Ovis aries: one gene and its partners. The protein of the gene in region 6 interacts with the protein of the main gene of each other region in a biochemical or structural test. Links are inferred from orthologs where the notes say so. Each region holds a gene or a part of one and is shown on either strand. Other genes may lie near its edges.

What was found.
Region 1: the proteins of PLCG1 (region 6) and KIT form a complex in vitro, tested with the Homo sapiens proteins (3 studies listed by BioGRID and IntAct, with this or other methods). The link is inferred for Ovis aries from reciprocal best matches to the Homo sapiens genes PLCG1 and KIT.
Region 2: the proteins of PLCG1 (region 6) and LCP2 form a complex in vitro, tested with the Homo sapiens proteins (2 studies listed by BioGRID). The link is inferred for Ovis aries from reciprocal best matches to the Homo sapiens genes PLCG1 and LCP2.
Region 3: the proteins of PLCG1 (region 6) and SOS1 form a complex in vitro, tested with the Homo sapiens proteins (2 studies listed by BioGRID and IntAct, with this or other methods). The link is inferred for Ovis aries from reciprocal best matches to the Homo sapiens genes PLCG1 and SOS1.
Region 4: the proteins of PLCG1 (region 6) and SH3BP2 form a complex in vitro, tested with the Homo sapiens proteins (2 studies listed by BioGRID, with this or other methods). The link is inferred for Ovis aries from reciprocal best matches to the Homo sapiens genes PLCG1 and SH3BP2.
Region 5: the proteins of PLCG1 (region 6) and ITK form a complex in vitro, tested with the Homo sapiens proteins (2 studies listed by BioGRID, with this or other methods). The link is inferred for Ovis aries from reciprocal best matches to the Homo sapiens genes PLCG1 and ITK.
Region 7: the proteins of PLCG1 (region 6) and ERBB3 form a complex in vitro, tested with the Homo sapiens proteins (2 studies listed by BioGRID and IntAct, with this or other methods). The link is inferred for Ovis aries from reciprocal best matches to the Homo sapiens genes PLCG1 and ERBB3.

Annotation. Positions count from the first base shown.
Region 1 is NC_056059.1:70,928,192-70,931,691, forward strand, and holds part of KIT (mast/stem cell growth factor receptor Kit), read left to right. Parts: intron 1-3,241; coding exon 3,242-3,356; intron 3,357-3,500. UniProt on the Homo sapiens protein: Tyrosine-protein kinase that acts as a cell-surface receptor for the cytokine KITLG/SCF and plays an essential role in the regulation of cell survival and proliferation, hematopoiesis, stem cell maintenance, gametogenesis, mast cell development, migration and function, and in melanogenesis.
Region 2 is NC_056069.1:2,324,873-2,328,372, reverse strand, and holds part of LCP2 (lymphocyte cytosolic protein 2), read left to right. Parts: intron 1-9; coding exon 10-59; intron 60-3,238; coding exon 3,239-3,330; intron 3,331-3,500. UniProt on the Homo sapiens protein: Adapter protein primarily involved in signaling pathways within T-cells, as well as other immune cells such as platelets, mast cells, and natural killer (NK) cells.
Region 3 is NC_056056.1:85,013,965-85,017,958, forward strand, and holds the start of SOS1 (son of sevenless homolog 1), read left to right. Parts: upstream 1-1,194; 5' UTR 1,195-1,323; intron 1,324-3,994.
Region 4 is NC_056059.1:116,633,548-116,637,047, forward strand, and holds part of SH3BP2 (SH3 domain-binding protein 2), read right to left. Parts: intron 3,250-3,500; coding exon 2,607-3,249; intron 1,586-2,606; coding exon 1,462-1,585; intron 1,253-1,461; coding exon 1,197-1,252; intron 950-1,196; coding exon 868-949; intron 390-867; coding exon 330-389; intron 1-329. UniProt on the Homo sapiens protein: Binds differentially to the SH3 domains of certain proteins of signal transduction pathways. Binds to phosphatidylinositols; linking the hemopoietic tyrosine kinase fes to the cytoplasmic membrane in a phosphorylation dependent mechanism.
Region 5 is NC_056058.1:66,446,634-66,450,655, forward strand, and holds the start of ITK (tyrosine-protein kinase ITK/TSK), read left to right. Parts: upstream 1-1,222; 5' UTR 1,223-1,404; coding exon 1,405-1,542; intron 1,543-4,022. UniProt on the Homo sapiens protein: Tyrosine kinase that plays an essential role in regulation of the adaptive immune response. Regulates the development, function and differentiation of conventional T-cells and nonconventional NKT-cells.
Region 6 is NC_056066.1:69,811,715-69,815,214, reverse strand, and holds part of PLCG1 (1-phosphatidylinositol 4,5-bisphosphate phosphodiesterase gamma-1), read right to left. Parts: intron 3,393-3,500; coding exon 3,323-3,392; intron 2,908-3,322; coding exon 2,750-2,907; intron 1,551-2,749; coding exon 1,454-1,550; intron 1,367-1,453; coding exon 1,142-1,366; intron 1,071-1,141; coding exon 922-1,070; intron 238-921; coding exon 123-237; intron 21-122; coding exon 1-20. UniProt on the Homo sapiens protein: Mediates the production of the second messenger molecules diacylglycerol (DAG) and inositol 1,4,5-trisphosphate (IP3). Plays an important role in the regulation of intracellular signaling cascades.
Region 7 is NC_056056.1:163,452,890-163,456,934, reverse strand, and holds the start of ERBB3 (receptor tyrosine-protein kinase erbB-3), read left to right. Parts: upstream 1-1,245; 5' UTR 1,246-1,401; coding exon 1,402-1,483; intron 1,484-4,045. UniProt on the Homo sapiens protein: Tyrosine-protein kinase that plays an essential role as cell surface receptor for neuregulins.

The DNA of each region.
Region 1 (3,500 bases), on a different chromosome or scaffold from region 6:
TTAACCAGCACACAGGAACAAGTAGGCCAGCCAGACCACACTGTTTGCCAGCCCTGGCCATTGTATAGCTGCTACCAGGTGTCGTGCTGGAAGGCTTGGATCTTAGGGCACTTGTAACCAAAGCTAAATGTAATTGATTATGTAATTTTCAACTGTTCCAGTGTTTTATAAGTTTATTATTAGCTGTGTTCATTGTAAAAAAAAATTAGAAAATAAGTCAAAAGAATGAAACAGATATTGATGTATAACTCTACTACCCAGATACAACAACTATAAATATAATGCACCCTTTCAGCCCCCTCTTTTTTTTTCCTACTGAGTAATAGTTAATTCCACTAAAAATCCAGGAACAATGAATGACAAGAGGAAGGTTGTTATGAGGAAATCTGTCTTATGAACTTGATTCCCATTTGAATTCTGTCCAGTTGGATTCTATCCAGTTATCTTTGCTATCTGTGTGTGGACCTTCTCTCATCGTTAATCTCAGTATGGAAGAAAAAATCCACATGGCCAGGTTTATGTGCCGATTTCTTATCTCGTGGCCCACTATTGCAAAAATGATGTAACAGGAAAGTCACCATAGGCTGATATTCCAGGTCCCTTCTTGTGACACTGAATTCCTTTGGAATTTGAAGGACTTGTTTCTTTGGGAGGACTTAATAATTAACAGCTCTTACTGTGTGTCTGCCACAGGTCAGACTCTGCTAGAAGTCAGAAGTACAGTCCGTAAGACATGGTCCTTGCCCTTGAGAACAGTCGGATGGAGGCAGACCAGGATATTATAGAAGTGCGTCAGGTGCTCTAAAGTGCTTCGGGAGTAGGGAAGCGAGACCAACCAACTTGGCTTTGGAGAGTTGAGGATGGCTAGGAAAAGGAGATGACACTTGAATTCAGTCCAGAGAGACCTGCCGTATGGCGCCTGCCGTCTTCAGCAAATAGCATTCTCCTCAAGTTCCACTATTTTCTGTGTTATGTCCTACTTTTCAGCCTGGTCACACAGTTGCCCATGATAATTAAATGAAACTTGCCAGATGGACGCTTTTGCAAGACGATGGCTTGTCTTCTTGCTCTATTTGTGAAAGCTGGCGTTGGATCCAAACTCTCAAGGATGCCCCTACCTTGAGATTGCTTTTGGAGTGTTGCTCTTTTGTGTGTATTAGCCAAATGGCCTGCCCATCAGCAGGGCCAGGTTGAATGACAGGTGGGTGTGCCATGCATGCAGACACTTTGATCCCTGCCAAGCCATTTTGCCTGCAAGGAGATGAGGTGCTGAGAGGTTGTTCTACAAAGATGTCATTTATCAGCATTACCTTCCTTCGAAGAAATTAGTTTCTGACCTGTTGGCCTTTTCCTCTGACCAAATATATTTATTTTTCCTATCAGTTGCAATGTAATCAATGTCAAATTCCCAGTTCTTTGGGTTAAAACACATACATGTTATCATGCTGTGTTAAGCAGTTTCTCTTCAATATCTAATATCTTTATATATTGAAAAGAATATGTAGAGTGACCAATACAGTTAACTTAATTGGTACCAAACTTGATTAACCTAGGAGGGTGGGTACTCTAAGGAGAAAAAATAATAAATGAGTAGTAATAAAGTAGTAATTAATACTTAAAATTTTTTTGAAAATTTATTTACTGGCTATTCTGGGTCTTAAGTCAAGGCATGTGGGATCTTCAGTTGCAGCATGTGGGATCTAGATCCCTGACCAAAGATCGAACCCAGGCCCCCTGCACTGGGACATAGGCTCTTAGTCACTGAAGCACCAGGGAAGTCCCATTAATTAATGCTTTTACTGTTTGATTTCTGTGAATCATTCTTGATTCTTTGTCAAGAATCATTTCACTTCATTGTCACAACATCACTATGAAGAATTCCTGTTGTTACTGTTGTTATTCCCATTGGATACCCGGAGACTTGGTGGACAGCAGAGAGCCACCAAAAGCCAGAGCTTGGGTACAGTTCTGTCCACCACACACAGGGCCACCCACAGCTCTGTGCACAGGCTTGGGGGCGGCACCCGCGATGCTGTGCCAGGGATGCAGGATGAACTCATCACTGTCCCTGCCGTCAGATGCTTCCAGTATAGTTTACTCATTCTTAGAGGGTTCACATCCTTCAAGTGTATTACCAGTAGAACAGCTGAATGTAAGTTCTTTTCCCGTTCACTAATCTCAAGAATTTGCAGGGTACCTTTGATTGAATATCAGTTGATTATTATAGTTACACAGAAATGTCAAATTAGGGCATTCCTGCTGATACAGTTTACTTTTTCAGTGATTGTACTCAGGTTTAGACATATGTATGAGTAAAACTCTTGGGCTGGTTTCCTCTTCTAATTTTCTATTCCTATTTTGCATTTGAAATAAAAGTTTGGAGTTAAAAGCCCATATTGTGTTTTACTCTGATGTTTTGGCTTCTCTATAAAGGGGTGATTCAGCTGCTCGTCTGCACCATCCCTTCCACACCCCCATCAAAAAAAGGAGGAGGGAAATTTTCGAGAGGGGGCGGATCTTATCTCTTCCTGTAACTCCTCCTAATTTCTTCTAGTTCTTGCAATAACTTGAAATTCCAATGAGATTCTGATGGCAGGAATACTTTAATAAACAGTGTTGTTAAGTCACATCTGACTCTTTGCAACCTCATGCACACCAGGCTTCCCTGTCCCTCACTATCTCCTGGGGTTTGCCCAAGTTCATGTTCATTGAGTCGGTGATGCCATCCATTCCATCTCATTCTCTGCCACCCTCTTCTCCTCCTGCCCTCAATCTTTCCCAGCATCAGGGTATATTCGAATGAGTCAGCTTTTTGCCTCAGGTGGCCAAGAGTATTGGAGCTTCAGCATTTTCACCTGTTAGACAGTTGGGAACCCTAGAATCCTGATTAGAACCCATCTTCCAGGTTCCCCATCCCTGGGAACAGAAACCTTGCCAGGTGGTCCTGCAACCTCAGTCATCCCTGAGGCAGGGAGAGCTCAGAGACCCCCACATCCACAGGATGAACAGTCCACACGGGGGCTGGGTAGCTTTAACCAGGAAAGCCTTTTTCGTGGTCAGACCTTCACATCCTTCTACCTGTACCTTCCATTCACTGGTTCACATTCTCCCCTTTGAGCAACATGTTCCCTTAGGGTCCCTTTCATCCTTGAGAAAGTTTTTAAAAATTCAGAAATTGTGGAGGGAGCCTTGGTGAGGTTTTCTAGCAGTCTGACATATGGCCGCTTCTCTCTTCCTCCAGCAAAACCAGAAATTCTGACGCATGACAGGCTGGTGAATGGCATGCTACAGTGCGTGGCCGCAGGGTTCCCAGAGCCAACCATTGATTGGTACTTTTGTCCAGGAACCGAGCAGAGGTGAGATGATTATTTTGGATACCACTTAACACTCATCAGGAAGACTGCAATTCAGTTGAATTTCAAATATGTTTTCAAAGTATTATTATTTTTTTAAAACTTTGTTTTGATTAATTTTTTTCTATCCATGTGGCTTTTTAGAGA
Region 2 (3,500 bases), on a different chromosome or scaffold from region 6:
TCTCCACAGCAACCCTACCTTTCCGCAGAGCGCCTCCCTGCCGCCATGCTTCTCTCAAGGTTTGTTCTCTGCGCTCTAGTGACCGACTCTAGCCCATATGCCGTCGTCCCAAAGCCTTTCGGCAAAAGTTTTGTTGTTTCCTAAAAGCATCCGACTTCATTATTCAGCACTTCGGTTTCTGAAGTGTACCAAAGGTTGCTGTAGTGATAGGATACTCCACACAACAACAAAAACAACACACAGACACACACACTCCTCCGCAGGAAGGCGCCCTTGGCTTTATCTTCCCAGGCGGAACTTTTCTTCCCGGCTGTTTTTATATGATGCTTAGGATGGTGCTAGCTTTCTCTGTAGTTTAGATTTCTATAATGAATCTAACCTGGAGTGCTAGTTGAGGAACATGTTTAAAATACAGATTAAGGGACCCCCAACCCCCAGGATTCTGATACAGTAAGTCTGGCTGAAGACCTGTATTTTCTAATAATATTTCCTTTGGGTGTCGATGGTAAGTATTTCTTGAGAGAGTCCTCAAACTTTAAAAGGCACGCAAATCCCCTGGGAGCTATGTTAAAATGCAGATTCTAATCAGTGGGTCTTGGATGGGACCCAGGGTTCTGCATTTCCAGCAAGTTTCCATGTGATTCCCAAGTTCCAAGTTCCCAGCTGGTATTGCTGGTTCATGGACCACTTCAAGTAGAAACAAAGGCCTACCCAGTAGGACTAGCTGTGTTTATTTTCTATCCTTAAGGACTTGCAAGTGACTAGTACATGGTAAGCACTTTAAAACATTTGTTGAATGACTGTCAAATGACTATGGAGAGTCACCCAACTCTAGTAAACAATTTTTTCTTCTCATGCTAGAAAACACATCTTGTGTTACCAGATTTTCTGATTTATTTTTCAAGAAAACATAGAAATATGGCTTTCAATGTGAAATTACCTAATTTTTAAAGATTGACTTAAGATTTAAAAATTCTGTGAGGAAAAAATAAAACACTTTTTTTTTTTTGTAGTCATGTACACATGCAGGAACATTAGTTTGTGTTATAAACAGAAAACTAATAAGTTTAAATTTTCACTTAAGAGTCGACTCTTTCTTTTAGGGGCATGTCTATTACATTCAGTTGGGTACATCATGCCATATATGTATGAGATTCTACTGCTGACACCAATGAAACCCACTGTATTTTCAATGTTTCCTAAGCATTTTAGGATATAGTGTCCTTATTCACTACATGGCTTCCACAACTCCCCCCACCCCTCAGTGGCCACAACTCATTATTTTGTAAACCTACTTTGTGTCCCTAGCCTGGTCCGTCCAGGCATCTGAGCTTGAGACACTTCACTTATAGCAGTATCTGCCAAAGTAAATTCCATAGACCCCTGCTTCTATGAGTTGGTGACAGAGATTATTAATATAAACAGTTGGCTTTTATTATTTTTTTGAATATAATCATCCCTCTAATACAGGAGGGGGGATTGGTTCCAGGACCCCCCACTGATAACAAAATCCCAGGATGTTCAAGTTCTCTGTATAAAATGATGTCGCACAGTTGGCCCTTCACATCCACAGCTCCACATCCACAGACCTGGCTAACCCATTGGTTGAACCAGTCTGTAGTCGGCTGAATTCACCGATGCGGAAGCCATGAACGCAGAGGGCTCACTCTACTACCTTAATCAAAATCGATCCCTTTTCTCCCAAGAGTGCCAGGACACCTGGTCCTCAGTCTAACCCACTGGTTCCCCAAGGTCAGGAAGATAAAGCATGTGCTTTATATTGGCCAAAAACCTGTGCCAGTTCCCTTGAGGATCTATTTATTAAGGGTGGAGGGTGACTGCAATGAAAAGTAATATGTTGTCTGTCATGAACAGTGACTTTGTGGTGCTGACCTGCAGATGCAGATGGAGAATAATTCCTCAGTTCTAAGACAGCCATGCCCTGTAGACCTTCATTGCATGACTTTCTCACGTAGCTAGATCTCACTCACTCAGCAAGCATTATACAATGTTGCACTGCAGAGATTGTCATGCGGAAGGTCTGCTCAGGCACTGGGAGCCTTAAGAAGGAAGATCAGCAGCTCAGGCTAGCCCCATCTGCATCTCGAATAATCCTGACTAGGAAGACTTGGACTCTTCAAGTAACTCTCCCCTCTCAGGGGCCCTGGGGCAGGCGATTTACCCTCTGTGGTGTATTAGATGTATTAGATGAAGTAACAGAGCTGGTGCAGAACCACCTGGAGTGCTTGTTAAAGGCAGATTCTTGAGCCTGGGTGATTCAGGGTCCCCCTGGAATTCTCTTTTACGCACAGTCATATTTGGGAACCACAAGCTCAAGTTCTGGCTCTGCCACTAAGACACATGATTTGTTTAGACTCTCTGAATCTTTGTTTCATGATATTCAAAAAGAAGACAATACCCACCTTGTGGAGTTGCTGTGAGGATGAAAGGTCATGCACACAGGTGTCTTATTCAGGGCCTGGACACAGCAGTGCTGAAAAAATATCTGTTGAATGAACAAATGAGTGATGCATGAATTGTTAAGAGAACATTCAACTCACGGACTTTACCAGCCTGAAATAGCTGTTCTGGCATATAGAGACAGGTTTAGCAACTGCAAATCAACACAATCAAACCTTCCCTGAGATTAGGAAACACATTCTCTTGAAAAATTTCATGGAACTGTCAACAAGGAAAAAAAAAAGCATTAGAGAAGATGAGGCACAAATGCTGGGTAATTTACAGACTCCGACACAGGCTTCCTGATGGATCAGATACTGTCAGGGCCTCCTTCTATGTGAGTCTAACAGTTCTACTTCTAAAAGAAATTTGGTCAAGAACAGCAGGTAGTAAGCTCTGGCTCTGAAATCTAAGAATATTCAAGGTAATTTCACCTCATCTTGGGTAAGTCACATGTCTTGTTGTGAAAATGAGAACATAATTATCCTGACCTCCACATTTTACCATTTGGTGGTATATATGTAACTTGCTCAGTTAAGCAACCAATCAAGTGTGCGGTGTAGTGTCTCAGAATTTCACTGGCATGGCTGCAGAATAGGGCCCGAAACAGCCCTTGTGGTTTTGAACAAGTGAAAGTTATTTTGGAAGCTGTGGTTTCTTGAAACGTTAATTGCTGGGAACAATGGCAAGGGCATTGTGGAGGGCGGGCAGTGATGGGCTATGACTAGTGAAAAATTGCTTAAAGTAAATTAACGTTCAAAATGCTATACTTTCAAAGGCCCCCTCAACAGACCACTTCCCAGAGTGGAAGGCAGGAACTTCTCGCCAGTTCCCAGCAAACCTAGACCACAGTCCCCTGGGGAAGAACAGGTAATAAGGCATATGTTCCTATTTTATTTCTACACCAGCAAACGAATCATCAGAATCTTCCACTGAATAGTCTCCTATACTTTTATTTTCTTTTACTCTTAATTTTTTTAGTGAAAAATATTGAGGGGAGAATTCAGTTGAAAAATATTCTTTTTCCTTGATGTTCCTCT
Region 3 (3,994 bases), on a different chromosome or scaffold from region 6:
TAAAGCTTATAATCAGGCCAAGAATTTTTTTTTTCCTATTTAACAGGCGTATAAATGACTTGTATTTATAAAGTTACAATTCTTCTTTTCTGTCCTGAGCACTAGTCACTGACTGTATCTCTATATTTTGTTACTTTGAAGATGTTGTGTGTCTACTTATGATTTTAGGACATGTTTGTATAAAAGCAGGTCTACTTCAAATCACATAAACTTATAGCTATGATTCAATTAGCATTTGATAGCATAATGACAATTTATACTTCTAGATATAATGTACTGCAAACAGTTTTAGTTGTATTATGTTAAGTATACATAATATTTTTTTTATCTTAAGATGCTTGTAAAACCTAAGAATGGGATTAAAAACTTTGGTGACTTTATATTCGAATATATCACTCAACCTGAATATGTTCTTTAGCTTATTTTAATAAAAGTTAGAACTATTTCTGTCTCCTAATTTTTGTTCAACTCAGCTATTAGTCTGTTGACTAATACTTTGTATTTAAGTGAGAAAAACTGTCATCTTCGTATATTAATTCCAGAATTTGTTATTTTATTTCCTATCAGTTGGAATATCTGAATAGCTGATGTAGCAAACTATTCCTTTTGTTGCCTATGGCTGGGAATTTTTACAAATGGAAAACTAGCAAAAACTTTTCCAGTCTGACCGGCTTGATGTTTATCTCTGAGAACATCTTTACAGCTTTACTTTGAGGCTCTAAGATTCTTTTTCCTTCAGTTCAAATTTTTCTCTGGCCCTTTACCATACTTAAGCTGCAAGATGTTCTTGTATCTTCAAGCCCAAGCTAGCTTCTGTTATAGGTTTAAAAACACAAAAAGGCTCAAGACCAAACTTAGACTAGTGATCAGAGAGAAAAACAATTGATAAAATAATGAATGAGTCACTATTTAAATATACTTCAGTTCTTTTATTTTTTTCTGAACTAACCTTTCTGCTTTCATTATTTTTAATAGCACTTATGTAAAAAGAGTGTGGTCAATTATTTCCAATGGTAGCTACAACAATTTCTCTGAACCTACATCAGTTTTACCATGATACTTTCCACTCCTCTTATCAAGAGATGAAATCTCGCTCCCTCTCCTCATCTTATGACCTGTGTCTTCCTTAGATGCCCTGTCCCATTTCTGGGCTTAGCCCTTGAAAGGTCTGGCAGCTTCTTCCCCAGACAGAGAAGTCCTCCATTTCTCTCTGAGGAAGCCAGCCTCCATGCTGTAAAGAAGCTTGAGCTAGATACAACTAAATGATAAGACACCACATGGAGAGGAAGAGGCAGGTGGAGGAGCACCACGGGGGCCAGTCATGTGAGTGAAGCCTTCCTGGACTTTCCAACTCAGTGTAGCCACCAGCTGAAGATCCCCAGATCAGCATCCCTAACCAGCATCAGGTAGAACAGAATAACTGCCCAGCTGAGCCCAGTCAACCTACCAACTATAAGAAATAATAAACCAGTGGTTTTAAGTCACTACTTTCCAGGTTGGATTTGATATGCAGTAATAGATAACTGAAACAGTATGTTTTTAAATTGTATACTGTTTAGTGGAGAAACATATTCTCAATTTATATGCAAACTTTAACTAAGGCATAAAGTTATCTTTTTAATTTTGTTGAAGTATAGTTGATTTACAATGTTGTGTTAATTTCTGCTGTACCTCTAAGTGATTCAGTTATATATATATATATATATATATATATATTCTTTTTCATTTTGTTTTTTCACTAGATATTGAATATAGTTCCCTGTGCTAAACAACAGGACCTTGTTGTTTATCCATTCTATTTGTAATAGTTAGCATCTGTTAATCCCAAACACTAGAGAAAAAAAAGGCAACTCATTCCACTATTCTTGCCTGGAAAATCCCATGGACAAAGGAGCCTAGTGGGCTACAATCCATGGGATTGCAAAAGAGTCAGACACAACAACTAAACAATCCCAAACCGCCAGTCCTTTCTTCCCCAGCCCTCTCCCCTTTGGCAACCATAAGTCTGTTCTCTCTGTGAGTTTGTTTCTGTTTCATGAATGAATGAATGAAAGTCACTCAGTTGTGTCTAACTCTTTGCAACCCCATGGGCTACACAATCAATGGAATTCTCTAGGCCAGAATACTGGAGTGGGTGGCAGTTTCCATCTCCAGTGGATCTTCCCAACCCAGGGATCGAACCCAGGTCACCCACATTGCAGTCGGATTCTTTACCAGCTGAGCCACCAGGGAAACCTTTCTGTTTCATAGATATGTTCATTTGTGTTATATTTTTAGATTCCACATGTAACTGATATCATATGGTGTTTCTCTTTTTCTTTCGGACTTATTTCACTTAGTATGGTAGTCTTTACCTCCATCCATGTTGCTGCCTATGGCATTATTTCATCCTTTTTATGGAAGAGAAATAGTTCATTGAATATTCACTGAATATCTGTGAATATTCACTGAAAGGACTGGTGCTAAAGCTGAAGCTCCAATACTTTGGCCACCTGATGTGAAGAGCTGACTTATTGGAAAAGACCCTGATGCTGGAAAAGATTGAAGGCAAGGGAGAAGGGAGCAGAAGAGGCTGAGAGGGTTGGATAACATCACCAACTCAATGGACATGAATTTGAGCAAACTCTGGGAGTTAGTGAAGACAGGGAAGCCTGGCATGCTGCAGTCCATGGGGTCACAGAGAGTTGGACACAATTTAGAGACTCAACAACAACAAAACATTCCATTGTATGGAATACCACATTTATTGTATTCATTCTTATCCATTCGTCTGTCGATGGACATTTAGGTTGGTTCTACGTCTTGGCTATTGTAAATAGTGCTGCTTTAAACACTTTTTACATGTATCTTTTCAGATTATAATTTGGGGGTCAGATGTTATTTAGCCTAGAATATACTCTAGGGAATCTAAAAATCCTTCTTCCCGGTTACCCATTGGCCTCTGTCTTTGATTCTTATTTATCTTAGTCAACACTGCTCTACTTCCCAGGGGGAAATCATCTTCTCATAAAACATGTATAACCACCCTATGGGGGAAATCTAAAGCACCATAATGAAGAAATGGTCCAGACATTGTATTCTATCAAATCTATGATTACATTCTAGCTAGAAATTTGCTTGATATCTTCACAGTGATCCAATAGGTGATTTCCTTCTTTTTGCAAGAAAAATATTTACATCTATGTTAGATAACTGGCTAGATGCCAGACTACTCATTTTCTATCTTTTGTCACCCTGCCAAAAAATATATATATGTAAGTAGTCAGTCAGTTTGGGTCTTGATGAGTGTTCTTTAACCAGTGCTCTTCACTCATTATCACACTCACTAGACATCAGCTAGGTCATCTTCTGGATGTTAGCGGAAAGACTGATCTACACTGAATGAGCTTCTGCTCATAACCAAAGATCTCTAGCACATTTGATTCTTCAAGGTAACTGGTGCCATTGTCTTTCCACATTTGCCCTCTTTCTCTTTTAACCTGAAAGGCATCCAACCAGAGGTCAGATTTTGGCTTTGTCACTTACAGGTCATGTCCTTTTATCATCAGTGTCTTCAACTCTAAATGAAAATTTTTAACAACCTGAAGTTGTTATAAGTATTAAGTGAAACAATTATGTTAATATGCTTGGTAGCATAAGGAGCTATGTAAATACTGATTATTATTTTTAATACCTTCTATAACTTTTGAATATATTCACTTCTACAGTTTGATATGTGATCCCTTGAAATAAATCCATAGAGTTGTTTAATTACACTAGTTGCCATGTTCTCTCCCAAAGAAGTAGGAGAACTCATCTTACTCAACAATCTCCTGTCTTCCATTTGGCAGCTCTTGCATTTCTAACATGAGAAAGAGCTTACCTTCTAGCAAATAAAAATGTCAAGTTTTTCTATGTACACAACTTAGTTTATTGGCACTATTTTAAATGTCCACATATTACCTAACAAACACTGTCAAGTACTAGGAAGAAACAGAATCTTAAAGCCCTCAGT
Region 4 (3,500 bases), on a different chromosome or scaffold from region 6:
GGGGTGGAGGGGGGCAGGGTCAAGGGGGGCGCTGGTCCGTTTGCCTGCCCTGTGAAATGGGGTGCTCGGCAGCAACACCCGCCCAGGGGATGCCGGCAAGGTCTGCAGATAAGCCTAGGGTCGGGGGCGGGTCACCCCATCTCCTCTGGGGCCTGTGGGGGACAGAGCTGGGCCGGGACTGGGGGAGGGGGGGAGGAGGGGTGTCTGGAGGCACGGGCCTCTGAATGCCCACTGCCTGCGCTCTACCAGGGAGACTCCTGGGACCCCAGCCAGGCCCCAGAGCAGGCTTCCCCTCCCACCTGGGGCCCTCCGCGAGGCCGCCTGCTCACCTTCTCGAAGACGCGGTAGTTCCTCACCTTGCTGGAGGTCTCATCCCACACGACCAGAACCTGCAGGGAGAGCAGTGCGCAGCACAGGGCTCGCTCGTCTTGGGAAGACGATGACCTTAGACCCCGAGCGGGCCCCTCAGAGACGGAGCCGGTGGGCAGCAGAGTCAAGGCGTGTCCGTGGGGGCGGGTGGCCCCACACGCGGAGAGCAGAGTCGCGACGGGCAACCTCAGCCCAGGACGCCTGCCCTCAGAGTCAGGTGAGGCGTCAGTGGCAGCACCATGTGTCTGGCCCACGCTGGGACCGCCCCTGATAGTCATGGGGCAACTGAGGCTCAGTGGGGTCACACAAGTCACCCTTGGAGGGGCCTGGGTAGAGCCAGCAGACGTCCCACCAGGCTCACCACCCTCAAGAAGCCCCCCTTTAAGGTGCAGGAACAGGAACCCCACCCTTTCCTTCCTGCCTCGAGCCCGTGCTGGGGGGTAGGCATCACTCCCGACGGTGATGTGACCCCCCAGGCCCACCTCCCTGGGTGCCTACCTTCCCCGACTTGGTGGAGGAGTTCCGGATGCAGTAGAGACCGTCCTGGGGCACCCCCCGGGGGCTCGTGGCCTTGAAGAGCCTACGACGACACGGCTGCGTGGAGGGGAGCCGCCCACGAGCAGCTCTCAGGACCCTCCAGCCCACCCACCTCCCCCATTCCGAGAGCACCGGGGGCCATGGGGGCAGATGCACAGAGCCCGGGAGTCGGGGGGGGGGGGGAGGGGAACAGAGAGGCAGGAAGACCTGAGGTGGGGGCGGCAGGCCCCGGCAGAGAACCTCAGGTCTGCCAACACGAGGCCGTGGAGAAAGGCGGACTGCACACTGACCTCTCCACCTCGAAGGACTCTGTGGTGTTGATGAAGACTGAGCTGGGCAGTGGCACCTGAGTGGTCAGGGTCAAGGGTCAGGGTCAGGGTCATGGCCCGAGACCGGGGGTGGGGGCCCCCCTCCTCCCCGCTGGCTGCCAGGCTTTGCTGGGAGCCAGGCGTTTGCACCAGGTTCGACCCTCTAGCCCCAGAGCCCCCGGCTTTCCGGCAACCCCCCACCTCCCCCGACGACTGAGATGTGGGCACCCCCCCAACCCAGCCTCGCCTTCTCATAGTCATCGTCAGAGCCCTCCCCGCCAGCGTCCGCCTGCGACGTGTCAGTCTGCATGGGTTTCCGGGGTTTTTCAAAGGAGAAGCTCCTGAAACTCTGCCCGTCAGGGGGTGATCGCCTGGGAGCGAGACAAGAGGGAGGCCGGTCAGACATGGGACAATGCCCCGCTCCCCTCGGTGACCCCCTCTCGCCCTCTGAGTGACCACACCGAGCCTCGGAACCCAGGGGGTCTGGTGCCTGAAGCCCCGGCAGCCGTCAAAGGCTTGCAGCCGAGGAGCTCCAGGGCGGGGGCGGTGGGGGGGGGGGCGGGTATCCGCACTGACCGCCCTGGGGCAGCAGGAATTGCCTGAAGCCCGGAAGCCTGAGCTGGGATCGCTGGCCCGGGGCATCCTGAGCTCTGGAGGCTGCGGGAAAAGGCCCCGGTCTGAGGGCAATCTCCCTGCCACGGACCACCCCTGTGGCCTCAGCCAAGCCACGCTCCCCCAACAGCCACGAGAACAGATGCCAACAGCCCGAGCCAAAGGGACACGCCCTCACGAGTGGCCACGTGCTCCTAAGCCTCAGGGCTCCAGGGAGGATTCAGGGAGGCCACCCTGGACGGGCCGCCAGGCTGTGTGTGCGGCTGTGCTGTCGACGCTTGGCTGTGGCCCAGGCAGCCCTGTGGTGCTCGGGGCCAGGCCCAGAGCCTGACATAGGGACCCAGCCTGCAACTCTGCGACCCCTCACAAGACAGAACCACCAGGGACGTCCTGACGGGCACGGTGCTGACAGAGCCCTGCGGGGCGCAAGACACAGTCAAGGGTGCCCAAGGAGAGCTGGGCGGGAGCATACACTCGGGGGTCGCCCCGTGGACCCAGAGCCTTCACCGCCAAGGGCCCCATGGCCTGGGGCTGCCACGACACACGTGTTTCCCGGCACTGCCCAGCAAAGAGGCCCACGTGGTATGGAGCAGGCCTCAGGGGCAGCCGGTCAGTCCAGGCAGGAGGGCAATCGAGGAGCCTTGCTCCCCCCATGCCAGGGCCACCTGGCACCCACATGGGCTGAGAGCCAGGGGCAGGGAGGTCTGGGGTCACCAGAGGGTAAACATGCCAAGGAGGGGTGTCCCAGGCCAGGGGGTGTCCTGTGCCACACAGACTCACTGGAGGTGCGGGAGCGCCGGCTTCTCTGGCCGGGGCAGGACGGGAGGCCGGTCTGCAGCCTCGGGCATGGGCAGCTTCAGCAGAGGCGGCCGGGGGGCCACAGGGGGCACACGGGGTCCAGTCCTGGCCACCTCCCCCGGGGGACTCTCTTCTACCATCTTCAGGAACTTGGGCTTGTTGGCTGGCACAGGTGGGGGCTCGGGGGCGGGCGGCCCCCGGGGGGACAGATGGAAGGACTTGAGCTTGTCACAGTTCCAGGAGGCAGCCGTGGCCGTGCTGGAGGGGTTGACCCCGTGTGCGGGGATCCGGGGCTCCAGGCTGGGGCTGCTGTTCTCGGGGAAGCAAGGGGCTTTCCGGAGGCTGGGCCCGGGGGGCAAGATGTTGGATGGGGGGTCGCTCATCCTCCGGGAGACGGTGGGCACCCTGGAACCGGGCTCCACCCTCCGCAGGGCCGGCGGCTCCCGCCTGGAGTCCTCGGGGGCCGGGCCGGTGTCCGGGAGGCCGCGCTTAGGGGGCGGGGGTGGCAGCAGGGGGCCTGGACCCTTGGAGGTGAAGGAGTGGGCACGGGGCACCTCAGAGAAGACTGGCTTCCTGGGCGTGGGCACAGGGGGCGGAGGGTAGGCCGGCGGGTGGATCAGGGCATCTGCAGAGCAAAGAGAGCCACATGGTAAGTGGGTGTCCCCCGCTGGAGGCTGCAGCTGCACCCCTCGGGGGGCAGTGGACAGCCAGGGCCCCTGCCCCGCAGCCTGGCCGCCCCACGCCCCCCATGCCTGGCACTCCTGGTGTGGCCTTCCTTCTGGGTCTGGCCCACCTCACGCCACTGGGCCCACCCCAGATGCCCTCCGAAGCCTGGGCAAAACTTCCCGAAGCCCAGGTGCCACATCAGGTTCCCAG
Region 5 (4,022 bases), on a different chromosome or scaffold from region 6:
GGAGGCCTGGAGTGCTGCAGTCCATGGGGTCTCAAAGAGTCGGACATGACTGAGCGACTGAACTGAACTGACCTGAAACTAGTGGGGAAGACAAACACTAATCCAAAAATCACCCTCCAAAAAGTACAATGACAACTGTCATAAAGGCTATGTCATAAGGTGTCTTCTGCATATAATTGGTGGAAATGACTTAGTAAAGCCAGGAAGGCTTCCCTGAGGAAGTGACATGTAGGCTGAAACTAGTAGTATAACTCAAAGCAGGTAAAACAGGGGAGAGGAGATGTTTTCAGGCAACGGGAGCAGATATCCAAAGCAGCCTGAGAAGCATGCATGAGGGCTGAAGTGAAAATATGCGAGCAAGGTATGAGATGAGACTGGCAAGAGAGCCAGAGAGCAGCCCCACATGTAGGAGTACCATTACTCCCCTTCACAGGTAAAAAAAAACTGAGGCTCAGAATCCTCAAGTAATTTGCCTGTAGTCTCACAGTTAGTAAGCCAGAAGTTAGTGGAGCCAGAAGTCAACCTCTGATAGGTAAAGATATCCCTAGAACCCGTGCCTACGTTAGTTTACATGACAAAGGGGGAATTAAGGTGCAATGTGGGATTAAGGTTACTAATAAACAGATCTTAAAATTGGGAGATTATTTTAGATTATTCACACAAACCCAATGTAATCTTAAGGATCCCTAAATATGCCAGCGGAAGGTAGAAGAAGAGGTAACAGTTGTATAAAATTAGAGCAATTGACTGTTGTCCTAGGCTTTGAAGATGGAGGAAGAGGGTCAAGAGTAAAAGCATGCAGGTGGTTCTAAAGCTGGGAAGGGCAAGGAAACAGATTCTACCTGAGATCTTCCAGACAGGATCGCACCCTGCTAACATCTTGATTTTAGCCCAGTGAGACCCATTTTGCAATTCTGAACCACAGAACAATAAATTCACGAAGCACTAAACTTGCTGTAGTTTAAAAAGCCAATAGAAAACTAATATACAACCCATGTCCCTCGACTCCAAAGCACATGTTCCTACCCCTTGTGCTACAGGGCTTAACTGTTGGATGAGCTAAACCAGGAACTATAAAGATTGAAATCTAATCAGTCATATCATTTTGAGTCTAAGGTTTTTCAAATATTTCTAAACCATACAGCAAAAGGTATGCATAATTTTTACATATGCCTCATAGTTTTGTGAATTTTGAAAGGATGTGGTTATGGGCTTTGACATCAGAAGAGAAGCTCTGCGATGTTGACTGAACGTTGATAGAGAGATAACATTGGAGGCAAGTTGCCTTTGAACAGCTCTCAGAAGATCAACTGCCTCCCCATCGCATTCCTTGCCCTGAAGCTGTTTCCTCTGGTTGTGCTGAGGGGTGATGCGTAAGGTGCATCACTTTTCAAGAATTGGATCATGAACAACTTTATCCTCCTGGAAGAGCAGCTCATCAAGAAATCCCAACAAAAGAGAAGAACTTCTCCTTCAAACTTTAAAGTCCGATTCTTTGTTTTAACCAAAACCAGCTTGGCGTACTTTGAGGACCGTCATGGGGTATGTGATCGCTCTATTTTGTCTATTTTTAAAATAGCATTTTATAGTTAGATTGGGCTGAATCATGAAGATATACATACAATAAAATAAGAACACAGAAAACACAGATGTGCTTATTATAACCACCTAAAATGTATAGTAAGAGTAATTGGGAGAGAACATGGAGAGTAGTCAAGAAAGGGTAATTATATCAGGTGATTTCAGTAAAAGAGTAAGTTTATTGCTTATTAGCTTGTCTTTCCTCTATAAGGTTAAGTTGAACTTTTAAATTTACTTTACTTGGCAAACGAAATGGTTAAGTGATGGGTCCCATTCAACATTTTTATGGATTCAGTTTTATTTGTCTCAATGTCATCACTCACCTGACATTTAAAATAATAGTCTCTGGGCATTTAACTGTCTAAAATTTACAAAGCCCAGTGGTAAACCTCTTCATCCCTTGGAGAACTTCCCAGGAGACTAGGGTTATCACATACAAAATACAATACAGTACAGACCAGCAGTTCTTACCAGAAGACTACAGCTGCTTAGCTAAGTCAGTCTTTATATTTCTAAAGATATTCTTATATACCATAACATCAGTAATAAAAAGAGCAACACAAATAATCATAACAATGCAGTTTGGTACAAAAAGCACTGGAAGAGGCATCAGGGGACCAAACTCCACTTTTCTCTAGGTGAGTTAGCCTCAGCAAATGTCTGCGTCAAGTTCTTTCTTGATAAAATGAAAGGACTGGAAACACCGCCTACAACATTCCTTTCTTCTTTAAAATCCTTTGTTTCTATGAAGTAGCACTTGTACAGCCCACCTCAGCAATTTTTTGAAGCATGTTTGCCTTCTTGCTATATCACTGATTTATTTTTCTGTCATCAGAAAGGTAGCAAAAACAGCATTAGGTGCTTGATGGTCACTTAGAGACAAAGGCACTCTGATTCTTGGCAGGACCAAACTTAGTAGGTGTAGGCATGAGTTTGGGTCTTTTGAGAGCTGGGATTTGAAGTGTTCAATGATATGGGGTCTTGAAAGAGGCCAGGCCAGGTATGGAGCCTACAAATGCCCAAACTTCTAAGCTGCTGGTGAAATAATACTGCCTGTTTTTTACAGGTGAAAAGACATGCTTGTCTTAAGTAGATTCTTACTGATAATAATCCACCAGTCAAGAAGAATATGGAATTACTTACGTGCAAGGCCCCTTTAGTAGGTATTCAATATGTATTCTTTGACTAAATTAACAGAGGGCCAACAGCCAAGTTTTCAACCTGGAGGATTCATCATTTAGAGCTGATTAATCATATGACCTTGGTCAAATTGTTTCCAACTGTGAATGGGACATTAGAAGCTCATGTTTTATGTTTAAAGAGTTTTCATTTACATTTAAATATTTTTTCAAAGTCCATTTTGTGGTTTTTACCAGTTTTTTTCCCTGACTCAACATTCAACATGGTGTCATCTCATGTAGTTAGTATTGATTGTTTCTGAGCACAATTATTGCTTGTGAACTGTTTGGTTGTGAGTTCTGTACAATGGTATTTGCACACAGTCCTACAAAGATAATCTTGATTCAGAATTTTGTTGGTTATAATTTGCATGTAGAAAAGGTTGTAAAAAAACTCAGTTTCTTCATTTGAGCATTATGAAAATTCTAGAACAATTAATTCATCCTGGGGAGCCCTGAGCTACAGTTTTTAACATTTCCATATGGGATACAGCAGATATATGTTTCACAAACGTCAAATTTCTTATTTTGTAATGCCTATGCTTTATATTCATAAATAACATTTTAAAAAGCATTTCTCTAAATATTATAAGAATTTACTGATTGTAAAATTTTTCAGTTACTGAAAAAGACAAGATATATTCGTTATTATTATTTTTTCTCTATGTGACATTCCATTGCTTACAGCCATCAATTTGCACACAGGAGTGCATTGTTCATTGCCCATAAACGATAATAGTATTACACCTGTGGGAAGAAAAGGTTTTAAACATGTGTTTAATTTATTTTTTTAAATGAAAACTCAGTTCTGCCATTTGCAAAATGGGTGTTATAATAGTATTCACTTCATGGGGGAAAAAATGGTAAAAATTAAGAGAGGATGTATTTAAATAGACCTATCTGAAAATTTCCATTTTGGTAGATCCAAAAAAAGGGTCATATATTGGCAATTTCATATAGTTCAACTTAATTTATAAAGAACTGAGCTTAATAAGTCCTGTCACCTAGTAAACACCTAATAAAATTTAGCTACTATTTGTATCATCATTATATCTGTGAAGGAGAATGAAGGGTGGTATAACATAATCATTTCAAATGAAGGGAAGTATTAAGGATTCTTCCAAGTCAGGCTAACATCAGGGTCTTGGGTTCCCTCTCTTCCATGACTAAATACATGTGTGTGGGGCAAGATATACCTGCAGCATGAGATGTATGATTTTGGGCCAACATTTCCCCTCTCTAGGTCTCAGCTTCTTTTTCTTT
Region 6 (3,500 bases):
AGGGTTCAGTCCATTGTCCACTGCAAAAGCAAGGGCAGAAGGCCTCAGGCCACTGCCGGGAGGATGGAGTCACAGGCGCAGGGGGTCTGACATGCCCGGGGGTGTGGGGAGGGGAGACGTACCCACAAACTCCGTCTTCTGCTTGATGCTGTCATACTCGGCTCCAGCCACCTCGATCTCCACAAAAGGACACACGATGCCTCGGCCGTTCTTCGGCAGGTGCCGGGCCCCCAGTACCTGTAAGGCAGGCAAGGATGGGCCTGGGCTGGTCCTTCCGACTCACACCCGGTCCCCAATGAGCGGCGGAGGCAGTGCGCCCTCTGCTGGGCCCTCAGGACACTGCCCAGAAGTCCCATGTGAGTCTTTGCACTCTAACCTACCTTAAATCCATGTGCATTTTAATACGAAAATGTTTAAATTACTTCCCCCCGGGACAAAAAAGTAGAAATCTCTGGAAAAAAGACATGGTCACCCCCACTCTGTCCTCGTTTCTCCTTTGAGACCCACTCGGGCCCACACCCCCTGCACCCCACAGCACCAAGCCGCCCGCATCACAGCTGCTCCCCTGGGGCCTCGAGAGGGTGGCATGGGAGCTCAGTGCTGTTCAAGCCCCCGTTCTAGCAAGTACCATCAAGCCGATTCCTGTGGCAGGGGCACCAGTTCCCTGCCTGTCTCTGCCCACTCCTGCCAGGCAGTGGCTATCCACGGTTTGGTATTACTGGACCGCATGACTCCCGAGTGCCAAGAACTGGCCACACTGAGCCCAGTCCTCTGGTGCAGGCCTGAAGCCCCACGCCCACCTCAGAGAATGGCTTCGTCTCCCTCAAGCTCCAGGATTGTCCAGCACCCCTCCCATGTCACGTTAGCCAGCCCCCCGGCCCTGGCGCCTAGAACCAGCCCAGGAGAGCGCCCCCTTCCCACCTCGATGCAGATGGCGCACGGCTCCAGCCCGCGGAGGCTGCTCTTGTCAAAGGGATCGAAGGCCTCATCGCGCATGACATTGGGCTGCAGCACATAGCCGCAGTGCCCGCCAGCCAGGAACAGGGCCTGGTTCATCTGCATGGGCTTGTCTGCAAGAGCGGGTTACAGTGGACTCCAGCCCCAGTGCCCGGCAGGACCCTGCCCCCGGCCGCTGCCTCACCTGGGGTCTGGAAGTTGAGGGCCACAAGCTGGCTGCCGCAGATCCACATGGGCAGGGGGTCGTAATTGGAGGAGTCCAGCCGCTGACCCTTAGGGTAGATGCGGGAGAGCTGCAGGCGGTTGTACTGGAGGAACTTCTTGCCTTTGGCCTTGTTTACGTACTTCTCGGCCTTGGTCTCCGGGAAGGATGACATGTCACGGTAGCAGGCGCGTTCGGTGCCAATCTCTGGGCCCAACAGGGAGCGCGCTCAGAGTCCGCCCATCCAGGTGCTGCTGGGGCCAGCCCCCTCCCAACCCCGGGCTGGACCCTTACTCTCTTCATCGAAGGGGACAGGCCGGCAGTAGACGACGAGCTCTGAGAGCTCCAGAGCGATCTTCTTCCTCCGCTCCATCATCTTGCCCTCGGTGAGCTGGGGACACATGGGCCCTGAGCCCGGGCTGGAGCCCCCAGAGAGAGGAGCCCCCGGCCACCTTGGGCATGCCCACTCGCACCTTCCAGACCCGGCTGTCCTCAGTCACACCCCAGAAACCGTCCTGAGGACAACACACCCTCCCAGCTTCAGAGGCCGGGATCCTCACACCACCTGCGCCTCAGAGACACTTCAGGGCGCTGGGCCGGCTGCACCTCAGGGCTACTTGGTCCTCAGCTCTGGGCCTGCCACGGGCACTGACTGCACTGGGAACGTGGGCGCAGTCCTCTGGGTCCTTGGGACCATCCTTCCAGCCCTGGCCCAGAAGCCTCACCTCTCACCTCGCAGTTCTCCTTTCTCAAAACCACCACCTACCCGCCACGGCCAGACTTCAGCCCCAGCACATCCCTCACTAGCACCCCGTGCGGCCCTCGGACTCGTGGAGGCCCGCTTCCTTCCAGAAGCAGCTCCTGTTCTCGAGCTCTTCCTTCCCTCCATAGCCCAGACCCCAGGTTCCATCCCTTCAACCACCAGATCCTTCCAGCCTGGTCCTTCCAGGCCCTGCTCGACTCTAAGTCCTCCGCACCCAGCCCTCTCGGCTTGGCCTGCGGGCATCCTTTCTCCAAGGCAGCCACGGTGTGTCCCGCAGCCCCTCCACCCCACTGCAGGATTCCCACACCCCGGCCAGCACGCCCTCCTCTCACCTCTAAAAGCTGGTCCTTCCACCGCCCTGCTCTGCACAGGCGGCGCCCTTGCCCTCCACCAGCCGAGGCCCACTGCCATACCACCCAGCCGTGACCGCCCACGGCCACGGCCGTCTACAACCAGCACTTTGAGCTTCTGGCCCTGCTGTCTGCTCTGTGGCCCGCCTCACGTCAGACACCCGGCCTCACTGGTCTGCTCATCCTGGCCTCTTGTTTCTCAACACCTGCGTCCTCAGAGGTCACACTCTGCTCCCAACCTGTACCACGTCACCCTAAACCTTGGGCACCTACTCCTGCTTCCAGCCCAGGACCTAGCCTCTCGCCTCTACCCTTGACACCAACTGGTCACTACGCAGAGCCACTCAGGAACGTCTTGGGTATACCTCAAACTCAACACACCCCCAACATGCCACACTGCGGAGCACGTGTGTCCCTCCAGCCTCTGCCAAGCAGCGGGGGCTGCCCCGCGGCTGGAGGACCAGCACAGGCTCTCACCCTGGCGTCCGCCGTCTGCGCCACCTCCCGGATCTTCTTCACCCAGTCCTGAAGCTCCTCCTGTGAGTCGGCAGCCACGTCCAGGGACCAGTGTGCCACTGAGGCCATGCTGATGGAGAAGACGAACAGCCGGTTGTTCTTGCCCTCGGGACGGATGGCTGGAGGGAGGGAGGAGAGGAGAGGAGAGCTGGGGATACGGGGCTGAGCCCCCACCCCACCCCAAGCATGGGCAGAGCTCACTCCCTTCCTCTTCAGGGTGGAGGACGGGCAGCCCAGAGACAAGCCCCTGCCCCCACCTCTAAGCCTGTCTCAGCCAAGGACCAGCCCTCCAAGACCACGGACTTCAGCTCGCCAGCGGCATCATCCCCAGTGTCTGCACAGGGCGAGCACGCAGGCCTCAGAGCCGGGGGGCAGGGGATGGGGAGCCAGAGGGTGCCGAGGTGTCCGGGAGTGGGGAGAGCTCAGAACGAGGGCAGCCTGTGGGGCCCAACCCTCAGCTTCCTCTCTCTGGGCATGGAGAGAGCCACCAGGGACAGCCTGAACCTGAGGGGCAGAGAAAGGGCTGGGGCTCACCTATCTGACAAGCTGGCACATCCAGGACCCCCCGCAGCAAGTCCCCGAGCGGGCTGTTCTCGTCCAAGTGCTGAGGGAGGCAAAGCCCAGAGTCAGCAAGACTGCTGTGTGCACGAGGGGATGCCTGCATGCACGTGAGAAGTACACCCGACAGACGAACATGAAACCACATGCGTGC
Region 7 (4,045 bases), on a different chromosome or scaffold from region 6:
TAAGTGGTCAGGACAAGGTCAACACTCAGAGGGCAAAGGTAGCCTCCAATCACAGAACAGGCCCTCCAGGGTGCAAAGCAAGTTTAAAGAATTTTAGCCAGTACTCTTGGCTCAGAGTGAGAGGTGGAATTTTTCTTATTCAAAGCTCAACTGTTCTTGAAGTCTTCAGGCTTGAAACTCTGGGGAAAATAATTAGGCTTTCAGGGCAAGATCCGGAATGCCACACCGTGTGAGGCCTCACTGCCGCCGGCTGGGCACCAGGAAGTGCCCATCCTATCCATTTGGTGTCGGCCTGGGTTTGGGGGCATCCCCTCGTGGTGGTCAACAGCGCCTCTGGCTAGGATCCGGGAGCTGGTGCCCTGGGTTCATGCCTTTCGGGGACGCAGTCTCTAGGGCCCTCTCGGCGTCCCCCTCCTCCTCCTTTCCAGGAAGACCCCAGGCCCGGAAGGCCTGGGAAAGTGAACTTCTGTGGTGGGGAAGGCGGCCGCCCCGACGGCGCGGTCCGACTCCAGTGTGCAAGGGGAGGCAGCTGTTCTCCCAGGCGGCCGTGGGGGGCAGCAGAGGGGACAGCGACAGGTGCGGGAGCCCCTCCCGGGGTGGAAGTGAAAAGGCGGGCTTCGGGGTCTGTTCCCAGGCTGGAAGCCACCCCCGCCCCCCTACCAAATCCCCGGGAGAGGCCGGGCCGGCGCCGGGTCTGGAGGAGGAAGCGGCCGGAGACAGTGCAATTTCACGCGGCCTCTGGAGCTCGGGTTCCTCGGCAGGGCGGATGAGTTATGGGGTTTCGAGGGGGTTTCCGGGGAAACTGAGGTGGCCTGTTCAAGGCGACAAAAACACCCTCCCCCTCAAAAACACACACACACACAGGCAAACACATTGAGACAGAAACTCCCCCAAGTGACCCAACCGGCTAGGGGAGTTGAGTGATTTGGTTAGTGGGCGAGGCCAACTCGCAGGGGGTCGGGCTTTGGAGCGTTCTCTCCCCACCCCCATTACCTTTCTCCTCTGGAAGTATTTGGGGGCGTTCGGAATCTTGGACTCCGGGAGAATAATTAGGGCGAGAGCCGTTTAGGATCTGCGCGGCCAAGCTGCCGGCCACTGGGCGTGGGGCGCGCTAGCTCGGGGCGGGCCGCCGAAGCTCCGGCAATCGCTACTCCAGCCTCGCGCCCGAGGGGGCGCGGCCGAGACTCACCCCCTCCCCCTGCGCTCCGTCCTGCGCTCCCTCGCAGACTCCACTCCTCCCCTGCCATCCCGCCCCGGACTCCGGCTCCGGTTGCACTTCGCAGCCTCCTCTGCCGCCGCTACCGGGGTCGCTGGCGGCTCAGGTGGCTCCGCTTCGATGTCCTAGTCCAGGGCCCTTCCCGGCCGGCTTGGGCTGGGTTCCCCTCACCCTCCGCTGGAGTCATGAAGGTGAACCGGGCTCTGCAGGTGCTGGGTTTCCTCCTCAGCCTGGCCCGGGGCTCCGAGGTGGGCAATTCGCAGGCAGGTAAGCGGCGCGGGAGCACTGGCGGGCTCCGAACCCGGGATTCCGAGCCGGATTCGTGGGGTGCCGGAGGCCAGCGGCAGGAGCTTGGGCTGCGCGAGGCTGGGGTGTGAAGCCCCCGCCGGCTGGGACCCCCTGGGCCCGGGACCGTCAGGATGGGGTTCTCGGCGTGGTCCGGGCGGGGACGCGATTCAGGGACCTGCTCCCCGGCCACCGCCTCCTGGGCGCCTCGCAGACCCTCAGATTTGTCTCTCCGGCGGATGCTTAAACCATTCACACTTCTGAGGACCCTACAGGGACGGGAACTAGGACCTCCATTCTGTAAACGTGAGGGGGTGATTGGAGGTGGAGAACACGGAGGAAGCGGGGCACGGAGGTGGGCATCTCGGTTTACTCCAGACCTCTTTGGCCCCTGGGGCTCAGCAAGCTCCAGTTTCGTTGTTCTGCCGACAGGGCGGAGCTGTGGAAGGGGGAGAGGTTGTTGTTCTCTAGTGTTGGAAAACAGAGTGACACCTCCTCTTCCGTGAGTGGGCCTGCCCTGGGGAGAGTGGAGATTAACCTGGGGGCTAAGTCCAGGGGACAGCAGGGAGAGCGGCCACGCAGAGGCTGACTGCCCTCGTTCTCTCAAAATAATAAAGTTGGCTGGTCTCCAACTTGACCAAACTTTTTTTAAGCCCCAGATCAATTTAACCAATATTTACTGAGCATCTACTATGTACAGAGCCCTGGACCACCAGCTATAGGGTCAAGGATTTCCAGCCGCTATATTTCAGCCTTTTCTCTCCCCAACTTGAGGGCTGACAGGGCACCTGTCCTGTCTTCTGAGCCCCCTATCATGGGGAGGGTCCTTCTCAGAGCCAGCTTCATCCCTACTCCCATTCTGTTTATTGTCTGGCGGTCTCCAGCCGTCTAGACAAGAGTCAGATCACCCCTCTGTTCCTCCTCCCACTCCCATGCCAGCTAAGCCCCCCTCTTTGGGGTGTCTCTGGGGTGGTGGACAACTGAGGGGTGCTGGGGATGCTGGCATTGGAGGAGTTCTGTTGATTTCCTCCCCTCCCCCCCAGATCTCAGCTTGGGGTTTGGCACTGTCAGGGCCCCTTCCCCAGGGTGGGAGTGGGAGAAACACCTGTGCTTCCCTCACAGTTGCTGGGCCTAAATTTAGACCCTGGGATCTTGGGATGTGAACACTCCCAGCTGGTAGAGGGCGGGGGTCTGGGCATTGGAGTGGGAGAGATGGAGTAAAGTGACTGTCTCACTGTTCCGCTCAGGCCCCTGGAATCTTCAGCTGGGAACCCAGGAGTCCTGGATCCTGGCCGCCTTCCCTGAGGGAGACAGGAGGCAGGCATGGTTGGGTCTCTTTACCCTTTATCTGGCTCCTGCAGCCTCTGGGCATCCGGCCCCGTCTCAGTCCTTCTATAGCCCCTTTGTCCTGGCGGTGATGGGGGCGGGGGACTTGGGGGAGAAGGCCTCTGGCTGAGGAGGGGCTGGAGATTCTTGTTGCGACCCACCCCAGTGCTCTCTACCAAAGGGGAGCCCCGTGACACTGGCCCTCCCGGTGCCCCTGGTCGCTGGGTATAGCAAGGACTTTTGAATTCCCCTCCCCCTCCACTCCTCCCCTAGATGCCTGGTTCCTCCTCAGAGGTGTTGTTCATCGTTTCCCGCCCAGCCCTTTGCTCTTGTTTGTGTAATATGGACTTTACCCTCAGGGTGGCAGGGAACTGGGACCTCTAACACTGTAGTCTCCCCAGCTCGACACAAAGTCTGCACAAACACATGCGGGCAGGTGGGAAGGATGGGGCCACCTGCAATACTCCCTAACAAGGAAACCCAAGGACGGACCGGGCTAGTAGGGGAGCTGTGTACGTGTTTGTCTGCGTGCGAATGTGTGTGCGTGTGTACACACACACACACCCTGCTTCCTTGTGCAGAAATCTTGGCTCCTCCTTTATCTGGGGAGAAAGGTTGGCGCCTTGACTTGGAAGAGGGGGTGTCCTGGCAAGAAGGGAGTTGGGGTGGGGCTGTTGCAGAAACGACCAGCCTCCTAGTGGTTTTCTTTTCAACCCAAGGACCCTAGGGTTCCCAGGCACCTCTGGGAGCTCGTGTCTGTTTACTCCTCTGCTGGGTCTAGCTCACACTTTTCCCTTCATGGGGAGTGATAGGGAATGGGAACCCCTCAAAGGTCGAGTGGTCAGACTAGGGGTGCATCCAGGAGGAGGGGTTGGGGCCTCACCCACCTCCCTTCCTCCATTCCCACTCCTGCCTCCCACTAGGCTGCCACCGCCTCAGGGAAGGGTGGCTGGAACAGGTGGTATCTACCCGTTCCCTTGCAGCCTTTCACCGAGCCAGAGGAGAGACAGGGTAGGGCTTCAGGGTCCAAGATTGACTATAAGCCCCCATGTCCTCCTCCACACTTACAAAGTAAAGTGAACCTCCAAGACTGACAGTGAGTGAGGATTGAGTGAGTGAGTGAGCGATGTTTGGAAGACTTCTTAATGGATCTCCTCTGACAATAAAATTGGGTAGAAGGCTGAGACTGGAGGCAGTCGACTGCTGTTTCCATCCAAC